Ovis aries: one gene and its partners. The protein of the gene in region 1 interacts with the protein of each later gene in a biochemical or structural test. Links are inferred from orthologs where the notes say so. Each region holds a gene or a part of one and is shown in the gene's direction. Other genes may lie near its edges.

The links.
Region 2: the proteins of TLN1 (region 1) and ITGB1 form a complex in vitro, tested with the Homo sapiens proteins (3 studies listed by BioGRID and IntAct, with this or other methods). The link is inferred for Ovis aries from reciprocal best matches to the Homo sapiens genes TLN1 and ITGB1.
Region 3: the proteins of TLN1 (region 1) and ITGB3 form a complex in vitro, tested with the Homo sapiens proteins (6 studies listed by BioGRID and IntAct, with this or other methods). The link is inferred for Ovis aries from reciprocal best matches to the Homo sapiens genes TLN1 and ITGB3.

Annotation. Positions count from the first base shown.
Region 1 is NC_056055.1:52,813,457-52,818,664, forward strand, and holds part of TLN1 (talin-1), read left to right. Parts: intron 1-4,154; 5' UTR 4,155-4,187; coding exon 4,188-4,317; intron 4,318-4,552; coding exon 4,553-4,650; intron 4,651-4,892; coding exon 4,893-5,022; intron 5,023-5,104; coding exon 5,105-5,208. UniProt on the Homo sapiens protein: High molecular weight cytoskeletal protein concentrated at regions of cell-matrix and cell-cell contacts. Involved in connections of major cytoskeletal structures to the plasma membrane.
Region 2 is NC_056066.1:19,321,687-19,326,894, forward strand, and holds part of ITGB1 (integrin beta-1), read left to right. Parts: intron 1-405; coding exon 406-644; intron 645-2,666; coding exon 2,667-2,822; intron 2,823-3,560; coding exon 3,561-3,656; intron 3,657-3,946; coding exon 3,947-4,036; intron 4,037-5,208.
Region 3 is NC_056064.1:46,082,337-46,087,544, forward strand, and holds part of ITGB3 (integrin beta-3), read left to right. Parts: intron 1-1,460; coding exon 1,461-1,656; intron 1,657-3,064; coding exon 3,065-3,317; intron 3,318-5,208. UniProt on the Homo sapiens protein: Integrin alpha-V/beta-3 (ITGAV:ITGB3) is a receptor for cytotactin, fibronectin, laminin, matrix metalloproteinase-2, osteopontin, osteomodulin, prothrombin, thrombospondin, vitronectin and von Willebrand factor.

The DNA of each region.
Region 1 (5,208 bases):
CCCACGCCCAACCAGGCCACTGACCACACCCCCTTTCACTCCCAGCCTGACCCTGCCACTGACCACAACACTGTCCCCTACCCAGCTTGACCCAGCCACTGGCGTCAGCCCATCCCCCTCAACTCCATTTTTACTTAGACACTGCCAGCGTCTCTTCCCTGTCCCCCTGTTCCACTCATTTAACCTAATTTAGCCACTGACCACACATCTCTTCTCAACCTCCTACCGCCTGACCTGGCCTCTGACCTCATTCCCTGTCTTAGCCTGGATTCACGTAATTGTTCTTCCTCTTCCCCCAGGCTGATTCAGTAACTTATTATATCCCTATTTTTCCTACTGTTATCTTCCTTAGCTTGTCCTTGCATTTTTCTCTTCCCCCATTTCCAGTCTGGTAGTAGTCACTAAGCCCATCCTTTCTGCCCCTACCTGACTGCTAACTGCATCCCCTAAGGCAGCCTCATGTTTGCATTCTTACCTCCCCCTGTCCTTTCTTTCCCCTCTCCCCAGTACCTTACCTAAATTCAGGTACTTTGAAGTACCTGCTGATGACTGGAAGCTGTGGGCTTCCAGCCTCTCTTTGGGCCCTGGTTCCTGAGTTAAGCCTGCCATCAGATCCTGTTGGTTCTACCTCTTCAAATTTCTGATGAGTGGCATCCTCTCCTCCATTCTAATTCTGGCTTCATTGCCTCCGACTTGTGCCAGTGCAGGGTCTTTATAACTAACCTCCCTGGTAGCTACTGGAGTGAGTTTCCTGAAGTCTAGTTCTGGTTGTGCCCCTTTTCTGATCATCGCCTCCCTTGGCCTCCTGTTGCCCTCTTGTAGGTGAAATCCCGCATCTTCCTCCTGAGTCCACCCCTGCCTTTCCATCCTAACCTTGACTTCCCCATCACTGCTTACTTGCAGGTACCCTGTGCTTCAACCAGCCTGCTCCTCACTTCCCTGAATGCTCCTCCGTGATTTCCTGCTTTTCCACCTTTGCTTATGCTATTCTCTCTGCCTGGAATGCCACCCCTGACTCATCTCCAGCTGGCTGGAATAGTGGAGAGAGCTTGGGCTTTGGAGTCAGAAAGACCTGGGTTTGGATCCTGGCTTCACAACTTATTAGCTGTGTGACTTTGGACAAGCACCTTTGAGCCTGAGTTTCCTAATCTGTAAAAATGGAAATAACGACACCTACCTTGCAGGGTTGTTGTAAGGATTAAATGAAATTGTGTACACAAAGCAATTGACATATTGTCAATAAAAGATAGATCATTGTTTTTTCTTATTATCTTTTTTGTTTAAATCTTAACTTCAAATGACACTTTTCATGGAGACATTTTAGTCCCCTTTGCCTGACCTGAAAGGGATCTCTCCTATGAGCGCATACTGTTTGGTTCTTACCTCATTCTGCCTTCTATTATAACTCTGTATGTAGCTATCCACTCTGCTGAGGGCAGACGTGAGTGCTTACCCTTCTTGGTTCCCAGCCACTGAGAACCAGGGCCTTCCCCACAACAGACCCTCAGAACTGCTCACTGGAAGACTGGAAGGAGAAAGCCCACAAGAGAGACATTGGGACTGAGTGTTGTGTGCTTGACGACAGAGGTGGAGTCTTTATGGGAAGATAACGTTGTTGTGATGGAGCTGTGTAGGGGCTGTGTGCTTGAGATAATGTGTATGTATGTAGAGACTATAAGTAACTTTGTAGGAAAGAGCTCAATGCATAGGCTGGGGTACATTTAGGGAGAATGAATATTCATGGATCAGGATGGAGGTAGGCAAGGGTTATGCTGGGGGAGGTCAGGTCCAGCCCTTCAGCTGCCCAGTCCAGCCCTAAATGAGCCTGCCGCAGCCTGAGGCCGGATATGTCAGTCTCACCCACAGCCCTCCCCTCCTCCCCGCGGTTACAGACTCAGAGGCCAAATTTGGTAACAGACTTGAGTGTTACTCCCCCCAACCCTCTTACATTCTGAGTCTGTCTTCAGCTTTCTCTCTCCCTCTGTCCCTCTCTGTAACTCCCTGTCTCTCGGCAGCTCCCTCTGTAGGTATCTGCTCTGACTATATTCTCTATGTCCCCCAAATTCCTTACCCCCAGTACACTTACATTCCATTCCTTGCTGGGATTTGACCTCTGTCCTCTATCCTCCCCCCACCTCCACCCCCCCCAATTGCCCAACTCCTCTGGAATGCATCTCAGGAATGTCTTGAGGGAGGAGGAGCTCTCTGGGAGGGGGACATGGTGGGGGGGAATTGTTGCTGTTCCATAAAACATGACAGAAAGTAGAAAGGGGAGCACAGTTCTCCAGCCGGAACAGGAACTGGATAGCTTCTCCCCTTACTTCCAGGGGCCCGCTTCTGTGCTCTCATTGCCCCCAACTCATTTGATTCCTTTTGCTCCTTCACCCACTTGTAGCTGTGTGGGTGTCCACTCAGGACCAGCTTGAAAGTGATGGTAGCCATGAGTCAACTCCCTTATCGGGGGCTCAACAGAGGTTTCCGTGCTTAAGGAGGAAGGGGGGTGTCCATATATCCGGAGGAAATTGGGGGAGATGTGCAGTTTCAGCTGAGGGTGGAAGGTCTTTTCAGTGTGTCCTTGGCTTGACAGACCTTCCAGCCTTCCAGTGACCCTACAGCCAGGTCTGTCCAGCTCTCGGGAGAGGTGTGCCAGGGATGGGGAGGGGGGCAGAGACCTAGAACTGGGGAGAGTGGGAGGGTCCCCTCTTGTTGGGAGTAAGGATTGAGGGCGAGCTATGGTTTCTTCTTTTTGGAGACTCGAGATTATTTATAAGGTCAGAAATTGTCTGTCAGACTCCTGATCCAGACCTTTGCCACATCTGCCTCCTGTCTCCTGTTTCTACCTAGATTTTCAACCTCTCCTCATCTCTTCACCCTCCAAAAACACACCCCTCCCCAGCTTCCCTGGTTCTCAGCTGCTGCCTCTGTTTCCCACCTTCTGCTTCTAAGACCCCAACCTCCGCTTCCAAGCTTCCCTCTAGCTGTGCTTTCTCCCCCTTGGGGCTAGCAGTTTGCAGAGAGGGGAATGGGCTGCCTGGGTGTGCGCACCTCTCTTAGGTAGGAGGCACCAATCCCTGGACGGAGCTGGTCACATCATCAGCTGCCAGGCAGACTTGTTGTCTGGTGCTCTGTGCGCCACCTGCCACCTCCATGGAGGGTGGAGCCTGGAGGGCGGCGGAAGGCTGGGTGGGACTAAGACACTGTCAGGAGAGGCAGCTGAGCTGGAGGGCAGTGTTTGAGAAGGACTTACTGAAGAGGACAGAGCATAGGAGGAGTTATGGTGAGAACTGGGTATTAACCTGCTATCTTAGAAGGAGCAAGGCCTGAGGAGTTAAGAGGGACTGGGCTCTCTCTCTGAGCTGCCTTGAAACACACACATATCCAGTCTGATTCCCCTTCTGCAAAATTAAAGAGTTGGCTAGATCACTTTTGAGATCCCCTTGGATTAGAAAAACCATGATTCTGGCTTGACTGCTGGGGGAGCCAAATGTGGACCGAGCTGCTCTGGGAGGCCCCCAGCATGTCAAGTTACTGGAGAGCTGAGACACGTAAGCCAGGATGGCTTGAACAGCAGTGTTGGGCCTCCCTGCCAGACTAGCTCAAGTCAGTGTTTGCAGGGCTCAAGAGCCCTTGGGGATTATCTAATATAACGTCTTCATTCTGCAAAGAAGAAGAATAAAGCTGTGAGAGGAAAGATCACGTGATGAGTCAGGGCAGCGCTCTGGAAATCCCAGACAGGGAGAAGTCAGAAGGATATAGTAAGAGACAAAGAGAAAAAGACTGAACCAGGAAGGGTGAAAATAGGGCAGAGACAGGACTGGGAAAGGAGGTGAGCAGGGACAAGGGTAAGAGAGAAACACTTGGAAGAAAGAAGGGAGGCCTAGATTCCAGTGCTGGGGGTGGGGTGGTGTCCTCAGGTAACACTGTTTCAGACCTGCCTTTGTGCCTTGCAGACCAGCCTCTCCTTCAGAGGTCTCAGACACCTAAGACTAGTCCTTTTGATACAGCTTATCTTTCACTCTTTAATATCATTAAATAAAACAAGAACACACTCACACTGTTTTCTGCTTTGGTGACTCCCTTTCCCGGTTCTCCATGTGGGGGGCCTCCTCTCCTCCAGTGAGGGTGTATTCTAATGCCCTGATGCCATGGGCCAGGTATAGCCAGGCTGGAGAGAAGAAGCCGCCACCATGGTTGCGCTTTCGCTGAAGATCAGCATTGGGAATGTGGTGAAGACGATGCAATTCGAGCCGTCTACCATGGTGTATGACGCCTGTCGGATCATCCGTGAACGGATCCCAGAGGCCCTGTCTGGCCCTCGTGAGTCTGACTGCCCAGGTGGCTGGGGCGGGAGCCCTGGTCCCTTCTTGTTCCCAGGCTCTTGGCCTTGGGAGATGACTCTGTTGGCCTCTCATCTCTCAGGTCTGTGTTCCTTGGGCCCCGCCCTCCTCTTTAGGCCCAGGATCACTGGGAAGGTAATAAGGGGTAGTGGAGTAGCCATTCAGCTACATTGGGGTTTTTCTTTAAGCCTAAGCTGACCCATCTTCTCTTTTAGCCAGCGACTTTGGGCTGTTTCTGTCAGATGATGACCCCAAAAAGGGTATATGGCTGGAGGCCGGGAAGGCTTTGGATTACTACATGCTCCGAAATGGGGTGAGTATCACTTCACAAGGACCACCAATATCCTCTGCCATCACTTCCCTCCTTCTGCCTCCTATTCAGCACCCATATCTGTTGTCTTTGAGCTCTCCCATGCTTTCTAATAATAGGCAGTCATAAGACTGTTTTCACGCAGTCTTCCTTTTAGTAATCTACTTTCCTTCCCTCTCTGGCTGCCTAAAAAGAAAGTAATATCTTTAGCTTAAAGTGGGCCTCTCCTGTTCCTGACCCAATAGGACACCATGGAGTACAGGAAGAAACAGAGGCCCTTGAAGATCCGCATGCTGGACGGCACCGTGAAGACTGTCATGGTGGACGACTCGAAGACTGTCACCGACATGCTCATGACCATCTGTGCCCGCATTGGTAAGGGGCGTGCGGGGCTGGGGGCTCAGAAGGAGGCCTAAAAACTCTGCTGGGGATGCTACCAACCCACCCCCTCCCCCAGGCATCACCAACCATGATGAATATTCACTGGTTCGAGAGATTATGGAAGAGAAGAAGGAGGAGGTGACAGGGACCTTACGAAAGGACAAGACACTGCTGCGAGAC
Region 2 (5,208 bases), on another chromosome or scaffold:
TTTACTGTAAAAAACGAAGAGTCACTCAGTTGTGTCTGACTCTTGGTGACTGTGGACTGTAGCTCGCCAGGCTTCTCTGTCATGGAATTTCCCAGGCAAGAATACTGGAGTGAGTTTCCATTCCCTTCTCCAGGGGATCTTCCTGACCCAAGGATGGAACCTGGATCTCATGGATTGCAGGCAGATTCTTTACCATCTGAGCCCCCAGGGGAGCCCTTCTTACTGGCTTCCATGTTATTTGACACACATTATACCACACAGATAATAAACTGCAGGTTTGTTGTTACAGGAATATATTCATTCATTTGTTGATCTTATAAACATGTTGATTACTTAGACTTGATTTTTTAATGCAGTTTAACCATCCACCCTCCATCATCACTGCATGTGCATTTTCCTCCACAGGGTTTGGCTCTTTCGTGGAGAAAACTGTGATGCCTTACATTAGCACAACACCAGCTAAACTCAGGAACCCTTGCACAAATGAACAGAACTGCACGAGCCCATTTAGCTACAAAAATGTGCTCAGCCTTACTGATAAAGGGGAAGTATTTAATGAACTTGTTGGTAAGCAGCGCATATCTGGAAATTTGGATTCACCAGAAGGTGGCTTTGATGCAATCATGCAAGTTGCAGTTTGTGGAGTGAGTGCATTTATTCTCTACAAGGGGATATTATTTGTGTGGATTTTAAGTGTGATTTTTCTGTCAGAAAATATTACCTTAATTTCTATATCATACTGATTAATCCCTTAAATTCCCTCCCAACTGCAAGTGGTTTAAAAAAACGCATAGTTAATCCGGGTTTTAAAAGCCAAAATGCACACCATTTGAAACAGTGGGGCAGTGTAGCTTTAGCTGGTGTTCTGGGTTTTTTAAAGAGGCTCAGGGAACCCTGGCTTTCCAGCTTTGTGACTGAGATGGTATTGGGGTTATCTGAGACGTCACCAGGAACATTAAAAGTGCTCAAATAGATTGTGTCAGACACCATCTTCCTTTGGTTAGTTTTCTTCTGCTTATCTTTGAGAGGCATCGTCCCCATGTCTTAGTAATTTAAAAAGAAAGTTTTAAGTCCTAGTTTGAAAGCTGTATGAGAATAGATATTCTGAGAAGTCATATAATGTTTGTAATTTTAATTACAAGATTTTCAGTGACAGTAAGCTGATCCTCCATTGGACTGGTGGTTAGAATTTTTTGACCCATTTACCAGCCAAAAATTTTAGGTGACCTTTTAATGATGTAGCTGAGGACGGAAGTAGAAAACATTGTGAACTAGATGAAGTTTTATCTGTCTCATTTCCTCCTCTTTTTCTTTATAGTACCCCTGTGCCCTAAAAGACCTTTCTCTTCCAGATGCTTCTTAATGGTTACTTTTCAACCAAGTTTTAGTATGCTATTTGATACCCAAGATGATAATATAATACAGTGCTTGAGATAACGGTCTTTAGCCTGTTAGGACAAAGCTTCAAATGTTCCCATCACTGCTCATCCACTAGGCAATTTCCTTGCCATTCTAGAGGGCTGTTTCCTTCTCCTTAAGAGATAATAACAGATACACGTTAGAAAGTTTAAATACGGTAATCCATAGATAGTGCAAGTAGCCAACAAACAGTTAACAACTGTATTGTGGTCACTCTTGACTTCTCATCAGGGTAGATGCAGTTTAAGGATAGTCTCCACTTTTAAAGGAGAAGAGTAGTTTTCCAGGTGGTGCCTACCTTGATGCCTGTTTCCTCTCCAGCCGTTCATTTGTGATCCTGCTAGAAGCTCATATGGAGAAAGCATTCTCTGCACTGTCTCTGCCTGAACCTCAGCCTTGAGATTAAAACAGGCCATGGTATCCTGGCTGCTGCTTTCTGCTCCCTGTGCTGACTGAGAGTAACTGTTCCACTTACTTCTCTAAATGCAGAAGAGACATATTCCAGTTGGTCTGTCAGCATGCATAAACTTAATTCTTGCCTTCAAGGATTTTATAGTCTTAGGAAGATATATACAGATGTATGGAGTAAATAAAGACAGATGATTATAAAATTACTATTCAAGAGGATTTTACCACCACTTTAAATTTTTTGCTGAATAAGGTGGAGAATAAAATAAATGAACAAACAGTACTGATGGATTAAAAGGGGTGGAATTAAGCAGGGTCAAGTCTTTGAAGAAAATGCTTTTTTTTATAATTAAAAAGGGGAGGCTTTTTTTTAATATGGTGGCTGATAAAGGGAGTATATGCTCCAGAAGGTGGAGTAGGTATGGATGGGAAGGGGAGATAACAGTGTTTAGATAAAGTTGAGTGTGGGCTGAGACATTTTCGTTATTCATTAAGCACCTAGTAGAGATAAGATGATGCACAAAACCAGATGTGGTCCCTGCCCTGCTTGGAGTGGAGCTACCTTTTAATGGGGAGAAGGACATTGACTTTAAAAGGTAGTTTTTAAAAAAAGAGCTGAGACAGACAGATAGGCAAGGTGAAGTGTTATAGTGAGGCGAGGGAGTTTTATTCAGTGGGCTCAGTGCCTTTATCAGCAAGGATGTTATTAGCATTGTGAAAAGAGAAAATACAGAATTAAGTTGAAAGTATAGTGGTAGCCTATATAAAGATGAAAAGATTTAATCTTTGCTGAATTTCTGTAGCTAGTATTTTAAAATTGAAATCCTTTTCTTTTCAAGTCACTGATTGGTTGGAGGAATGTGACACGGCTGCTGGTGTTTTCCACGGATGCTGGGTTTCACTTTGCTGGAGATGGGAAACTTGGTGGCATTGTTTTACCGAATGATGGACAGTGTCACCTGGAAAATGATATGTACACAATGAGCCATTATTATGTAAGTGCTTAGTGCCTTACATTTAAGTGGATTCGGGTTTTTAGAGTATTATGGGTAATGGGCTTGTGGGTTTTCAGGATTGGGGTTCTGTTATTTTGGTAAGTTGGGCCCTGACCTAATGTGCAGGAAAGCTTTGTTGCTGTTCTGAGGCTGTGGCTTTGTGCCTGCTTCCTTCCGAGTAGCTGAGGGCCTGGTGGTTAACGGAGCTGCTGACTCCTGGCCCTGCACCCCAGCCCAAAGCTCTGTCTCCTCTTGCTTGGTCCATCAAGGGATAGCAAGTTTGATACTGAGTCTAAACAAATCATTTGTATAGTCTTACACTCCTTGTCTTATTTATATACGATCTAAGAAAGTAGGCATCCTGCCTCTACGGAAAACAAACATTGGCAGTTTGTTTAAGGTCTGGAAGAAACCTAAACCTTGCTGAATCTTGGTCTTTTTCTTAGTGATAATATACCTTTTATTATGTCAATTCTTCAATTTCATTGTTCTGACATCTAATATACATAGATAATCTTTTAAAAATCTTTTTTATTGAAATTTTTGTGTACACATAAAGATAGAAAAGGATTAGAAACCCATTAGACAGCACCCAGTTCAGCAATAATTTGTGGTGTTTCAGGCAATCTTGCATAAGTAATCCAGATATATTTGCAAATCATTATTTTCAGAAAGTATTGAAAAACTGGAGTATATTGGATATAATTACATACTAAATTTTATTACTTAATTTCTTAGGATTATCCTTCTATTGCTCACCTTGTCCAGAAACTAAGCGAAAATAACATTCAGACAATTTTTGCAGTTACTGAAGAATTTCAGCCTGTTTACAAGGTAAATATATACGTGTGGGATTAAAATAGGAACACATTTTTAGATCCTTATTGTTTAGTCATCAAAGGCAAAATGATATGTCTGAATTGAAATGTGGGAAAATGTCATCATATAGAAAGGCTAGATTTTACAAACGTGGTATTAATTTTAATTACATTGCAAAACTAGTTGTTTTTAGGTCTGACTCCTTATTTAGGATATATATCAAGAAATGGTTTTTAAAAATAGATAGTAGGTACTCAGTAGATGCTAATTAGTCAAGTTTTATAGGTTTTATCTTTTAATTGCAGGAACTGAAAAATTTGATCCCTAAGTCAGCGGTAGGAACATTATCTGCAAATTCCAGCAATGTGATTCAGTTGATCATCGATGCGTACAATGTGAGTGCATTTTAAGTAAGATCTGTTTTGGGCAGTACCCTGTTGAGAATACTTTGCTCAAAAAAAGTAAAACTCCTTTCATACACAATTTAGCAGGCCCTAGAAGACAATGTAAAACTTGTAAGTAAAATTCTGTATATGGAGGAAAAACTCATTCTCTTACAAAAATGTGTTTGCAAGGCAAAATAAAAGGCATGGTGGCGGGTGGATTTCTAAATTGTTTGAATGTCATTGAGTAATTCTCCTTTTTGGAAAACAAGTATGAAACAACTTCCATTTAGATTTATAGGATTACCTCAGTCTTCTTTACTTCCCTTCATTTTACAGATTCATTGATTTTGATGAATTGTGCCAGAAACCCTTTTTTTTTTCCTAATTCTTCTCTTGCCATATTTTTAGGGTACATAGTTCTCTGTTCTCAAGTGGTACACACACAGTCATATGTGCATGTACCATAAAATATATATGAATACATACATGACTTATTAAAGTAAGATTTGTAAGATTTTCACCCCACGTGGAAGGAAGTTGAAATTAAAGAGGAATTGTTCATCTTGAGTTTAGTTCTGGGTGCTTTAGGGATACTCACTCATTAAGCCTTGGTCAGTAACTGTTGTAAGTCATCGGAGGCCTTTGTAATACAACTGTAACTGTCCTGTGCTGCATACACCAGCTCCAGCCCTTTGACAAGTTGAATTTTATTTTCTACCTCATGCCAGGGGACACCCTACACAGATTTTTACAGACGTTCTAGATTCCGTTTTTTCCCTGTCACCCCAGAGTCGTTCTGTCTTTACAGCATATCTTAATGCTTTCCTAACTCCTTCTGCGGAGTGGTGTGACCAGGACCGAGCTCGCTGCTGCAGTCTTCTCCATTTGTCCTGCGCCCTCTGCTGTTCTACAAAAGCACTGGCTTGAATCCTCCCACTCTGGGTTTTCTTTCTTTGAGAGAGTGGGGGCAGGCCTGCAATGGCCCCTAAGCAGATTTGTTTCCAGCCTATGTAGTAGATTATTTACCTTTGTCTTCAGTGAGCTGAGGCTTCCCTGATGGCTCAGACGGTAAAGAATCTGCCTGCAATGCAGGAGACCCAAGTTTGATCCCTGAGTTGGAAAGATCCCCTAGAGAAGGGAATGGCAACCCACTCCAGTATTCTTGCCTGGAGAAATCTATG
Region 3 (5,208 bases), on another chromosome or scaffold:
TGGAACATCCTTGTGAATATGACGAAGCAAGGCCTGGAGAGTTTAGGTCACTTGCCCTGGTAACTAGCTAGTAAGAGGCAATGCTGAGCTGTGATCTCAGCCCATCTGTGCTCTTAGCTCCTACTTACTCTCTGTTCTCTCCCTGTATCCTCCCCTATCACCTTGGTGGCCAGCCTCAGATTGGGTGCTGGGAATAGAGGGGAAAAGAGATACACATAATCCCTGCTCTCATGGGTCTCACACCCCAGCAGTGTCTTAACACAGTGGCTTCCAAACTGTTTGGACCCTGACTCACAGAAAGTACATCGTCTTCCTCTCTTTCTTTTTTATTGGAGTATAATTGCTTTACAATGTTGTGTTAGTTTTTGCTGTACAACGAAGGGAATCAGTTCTATATATACATATATCCCTTCGCTCTTGCCTCCCTCCCACCCACCCCTCGTTGCAGAGCGCTGAGTTGAGCTTCCTGTGCTTTATGGCCTCCTACTTGCTATCTGTTTGACACATGGTAGTGTGTATGTCCATCCTGCTCTCCCAGTTTGTCCCACCCTCTGCTCCCCCAACTGTGTCAGCGTGTCTGTTCTCTATTTTGCATCTCTATTCCTGCCCTGGAAATTGGTTCATCTGTACCATCTTTCTAGATTCTACATATATGCATTGATATATATTTGTTTTTCTCTTACTTCACTCTGTATGACAGGCTCTAGGTCCATCCATATCCCTACAAATGACCCAATTTTGTTTCTTTTTATGTCTGAGTAATATTCCACAGTATATGTATACCATATTTATTATACAATTTATACCCCACTTCCCAATATGTAAACCTTTCACAAAATAATATTTACTTTTACTACTTATATACTTTGATACTTTCTATTCTGTTATGTTGTTGTTTAGTTGCTAAGTTGTTTCTGACTCTTTTGGGACACAATGGACTGTAGCCCACCAGGCTCCTCTATCCATGGGATTTCCCAGCAAGAATGCTGGAGTGGGTCACTGTTTCATTCTCCAGGAGATCTTCCTGACCCAGTGATCAAACTCCTGTATTGCAGGAAGATTCTTTACCACTGAGCCACCTGGGAAGACATTCTATTATGTTGTATTTTACTTAATTAGTAGGTAGTTGAAACCTACTATGTTGATTTTTCCAACCCACAGGTAGATTGCATTTTACAGTTTGAAAAACTGCCCAATAGGCATCTTATTGTACTGTCCCTCTTCTTACCTGCCAATCCAAGAACAGACACTCACCTAACCTTTCTGATGCCTCAATTTCCCCATTCTGTACAACAGGCCTAGGTACTGTCTTAGGAAGGACCACACGTGTTCACTGATGTTGGTTTAGCTCCAAAGTGCTGGGTAAGCTCTAGGCGGTCGGGAGGTGGCAGAGGCTGCAGGAAGCAGAGAGCCACCATTGGTCTGATCACAGGACTTGCCTCTGGACCTCTGTCTTACAGGCGCTGCCTCCAGGCTCGCCCCGCTGTAACCTGAAGGAGAACCTGCTGAAGGATAACTGCGCCCCAGAGTCCATCGAGTTCCCGATCAGTGAGGCCAGAATCCTGGAGGCCAGGCCCCTCAGTGACAAGGGCACTGGAGACAGCTCCCAGATTACCCAAGTCAGTCCCCAGAGGATTGCCCTCCGCCTACGGCCAGGTAGGAAGCCGGTGGATGTGGCTCATGAGGAAATTGTGGTGGGAAGAGAAGGATGTGGGGGGAGGTATGAGCAGGAGAATGGAAGCAAATGGAAGGCTTGGGGACCTGGAGTCCGAAGATCGGAGTTTGAATCTTCACTCTTCCATAGATTAGCTATTTGACCTTGGGAAAGTTATTTAACCCTGCTGACATTGTGATGCTTAGTCGCTAGGTCGCATCCCACTCTTTGTGACCCCATGTAGCCCACCAGGCTTCTGCGTCCATGGGATTTTCCAGGCAAGAGTACTGGAGTGGATTGCCATAAAAATGTCTGTTTCTTGTTTTCCTCAATGTCTGCTTTACCGAGTACATAGCTTTCTCTTGGGGCTCAAATGATATATAAGATGAGGAAGCAGTTTATAAGACCCTTTTCCATGTGAGATTGAGGCAAGGCCATGTATAGGGACAGAGAAAATAGGGGCGGGAGACCTTCAGAGGGGGTAAGGATTAGGCTAAGAGACAGGCTTTTCAAAGCACTGATACTGACTTTCCAATTAAATCAAGAATTTAAGAAAGAGCATTTTATGTGCAAGGCATGTGTTGGGTACCTTGCGATTCAGAGAAGAGTGGAACACAGTTCCTCCCTTTACAGAGTTCGGAATGTAGTAACTGCCAACACTTCTGTGATCCTGGGTAGTAAACCCTTGGGACCCAGGGATTAGACAGATGGGGATTTAGAGACAGTGAAGACTTTTAGAATGGAAAAGAAGAGGTTAAAAATAGGAGAGTTAAGAGACTGAAAGAGTAATAGAATTGCAAGGGGAAAGAGGAACGAGGGCTTTCAAGTTCGGTTTGCTCAAGAAGTTACTTCAGGGAATTCCCTGGTGGTCCAGTGGTTAGGACTTGTCACTTTTACTGTGGTGGCCTGGGTTCAGTCCCTGGTCAGGGAACTAAGATCCCATAAGCCACATGGCACAGCAAAACACAAAACAAAACAAAAATTTGCTTCATCCTAAATATGTCCAAAGGCTTCCCTGATAGCTCAGCTAGTAAGGAATCCACCTGCAATGCAGGAGACTCTGGTTCCATTCCTGGGTCAGGAAGATCCCCTGGAGAAGGGATAGGCTACCCACTCCAGTATTCATAGGCTTCCCTGGTGGCTTAGATGGTAAAGAATCTGCCTGTGGGAGACCTGGGTTTGATTTCTGGGTTGGGAAGATCCCCTGGAGGAGGACATGGCAACCCACTCCAGTATTCTTGCCTGGAGAATCCCATGGGTAGAGGATCCTGGCAGTTTACAGTCCACAGGGTGGCAAAGAGTCGGACACAACTGAGCAACTGAGCACAGCACAGCCCAGCAAATATGTCCAAATCTGCTTAAGTCTTAGAGGAAGAAGAGGAGAAAACTTAATGTCCTTCTGCCTTACAGATGATTCGAAGATTTTCTCCGTCCAAGTTCGGCAGGTGGAAGATTACCCTGTGGACATCTACTACTTAATGGACTTGTCTTACTCCATGAAGGATGACCTGCGGAACATCCAGAACCTGGGTACCAAGCTGGCCTCCCAGATGCGGAAGCTCACCAGTAACCTGCGGATTGGCTTCGGGGCCTTTGTGGACAAGCCCGTGTCACCATACATGTATATTTCTCCACCAGAGGCTATCAGAAACCCTTGCTATGAGTAAGTCTCCCCTGTAGAAGCCAGGGTAGCATCTCTTCCCATTGCCCCACATGTGCCCAAGTCCTGCTTCTTATTTCTACCTCCAGGTTGGCTTTGTTGGCTGCCTTCTGGCCACATTGTTTCTCCTCTTTACCAAGGTCTCCCTGTCTGGCAAGTGGGCTGACCCACTGACTGTGTTAATAGTTAATAATCAACCAAAATTGTTAATAATAAACAAGGCTATTTGGAGACCTAGAAAGGAAATTCATTAGCTTCCCGGTCTAGGTCACAAATAAATAGTAGACAAGAGAGAATAAAAGAGAAATGAGACCAAACGTAGAGAGAGAACTTTATGGATAAGTAAATAGAGGAGTTATGATTTCAGAATGATTGATTCCATTGTTATTGTCCTCCTTATCTAGAAGATGGGTCCTACAGAGTTAAAATGCAAGGAATTAAGTCCTAGAGGAATATAAAAGGGTGGAAATGATATTTATTGAACCATCTAGCATAAATGGATGTGTCCCTACTTTGAGACTTTGGCTTAAAACTGAATGGTTTATTTATTTAATTGGTGGAGAGACTATGCAAATTCATGAATTATAATTTAAAATAATGGTTATCAAGTCTGTCAGGGTACGGCTTTACTTTTTAGATTTGAGAGTTATGTGGGTTGTAAGTTTACCCAGTAAGGATGTCAACCGTGAGTTAAAGAAATAAACCAATGGAGTGGGGACAGAAAAAAAAAAAAACCAAAACAACTATGTCCTGTTTGACACAGATCTATTAATTTATTGATAGCTCAGAGACATAAAGTTATTGATGAACTTTTGCTTATTATGTTAATGTTACTTTAGAGAAGTGTTGAGTATAAGCTATTAGCAATAGCAACCAAAGCCTCACTCTGATCTGAGAACCTTCCCCATGTTAACTCACTTAAACCTTACAGCTAAAAGATGCATGCTCCTTGGAAGAAAAGCTATGACAAACCTAGACAGTGTATTAAAAAGCAAAGACATTACTTTGCCAACAAAGGTCCGTAGAGTCAAAAAAATCTGTATAATCAAAGCTATGGTTTTTCCAGTAGTCATGTATGGATGTGAGTTGGTCCATAAAGAAGGCTGAGTGCTGAAGAATTGATGCTTTCAAACTGTGGTGTTGGAGAAGACTTGAGAGTCCTTTGGACAGCAAGGAGATCAAACCTGTCAATCCTAAAGGAAATCAGTCCTGAATATTCATTGGAAGGACTGATGCTGAAGCTCCAATACTTTGGCTACCTGATACAAAGAGCTGACTCATAGGAAAAGACCGTGATGCTGGGAAAGATTGAAGGCAGGAGGAGAAGGGGACAACAGGGGATTTGATGGTTGGATGGCATCACTGACTCAATGGATATGAGTTTGAGCAAGCTCTGGGAGTTGGTGGTGGGCAGGGAAGCCTGGTGTGCTGCAGTCCATGGGGTTGCAAAGAGTTGGACACAACTGAGCGACTGAACAACAAGGCTTCACAACAACCCTTACTAGCTATCATGTCCCCATTTGTTTTATAGGTTAGGAATAGAGAAGCTTGCCTAGGGTTCCATGACTAGTAAGTCAAGGAACTGGGATTTGAATCAAGGGAGTCTAGTTCCACAGTTTACCCTCTTCTCCTCTGAGCTAGGTGGAGGTTAGCTCAACGTGATGCCTAGGTAATTTGAAGGGTTGAGAGTCTAAACTCTCTGGATAATTCTAGCTTCATAGAACTGGACTGGGTATACCACTTTCCACATCTCTCTCCCACTTTTCCCTCCCATTCCCCAAGTAGTCTTTTCTCCACCCTTATCCCTGGCTACACTGCATGGCATGTGGGATCCCTTAGTTCTCTGACCAGGGATCGAACCTGCATTCCATTGTATTGGAAGCACTGGACTGCC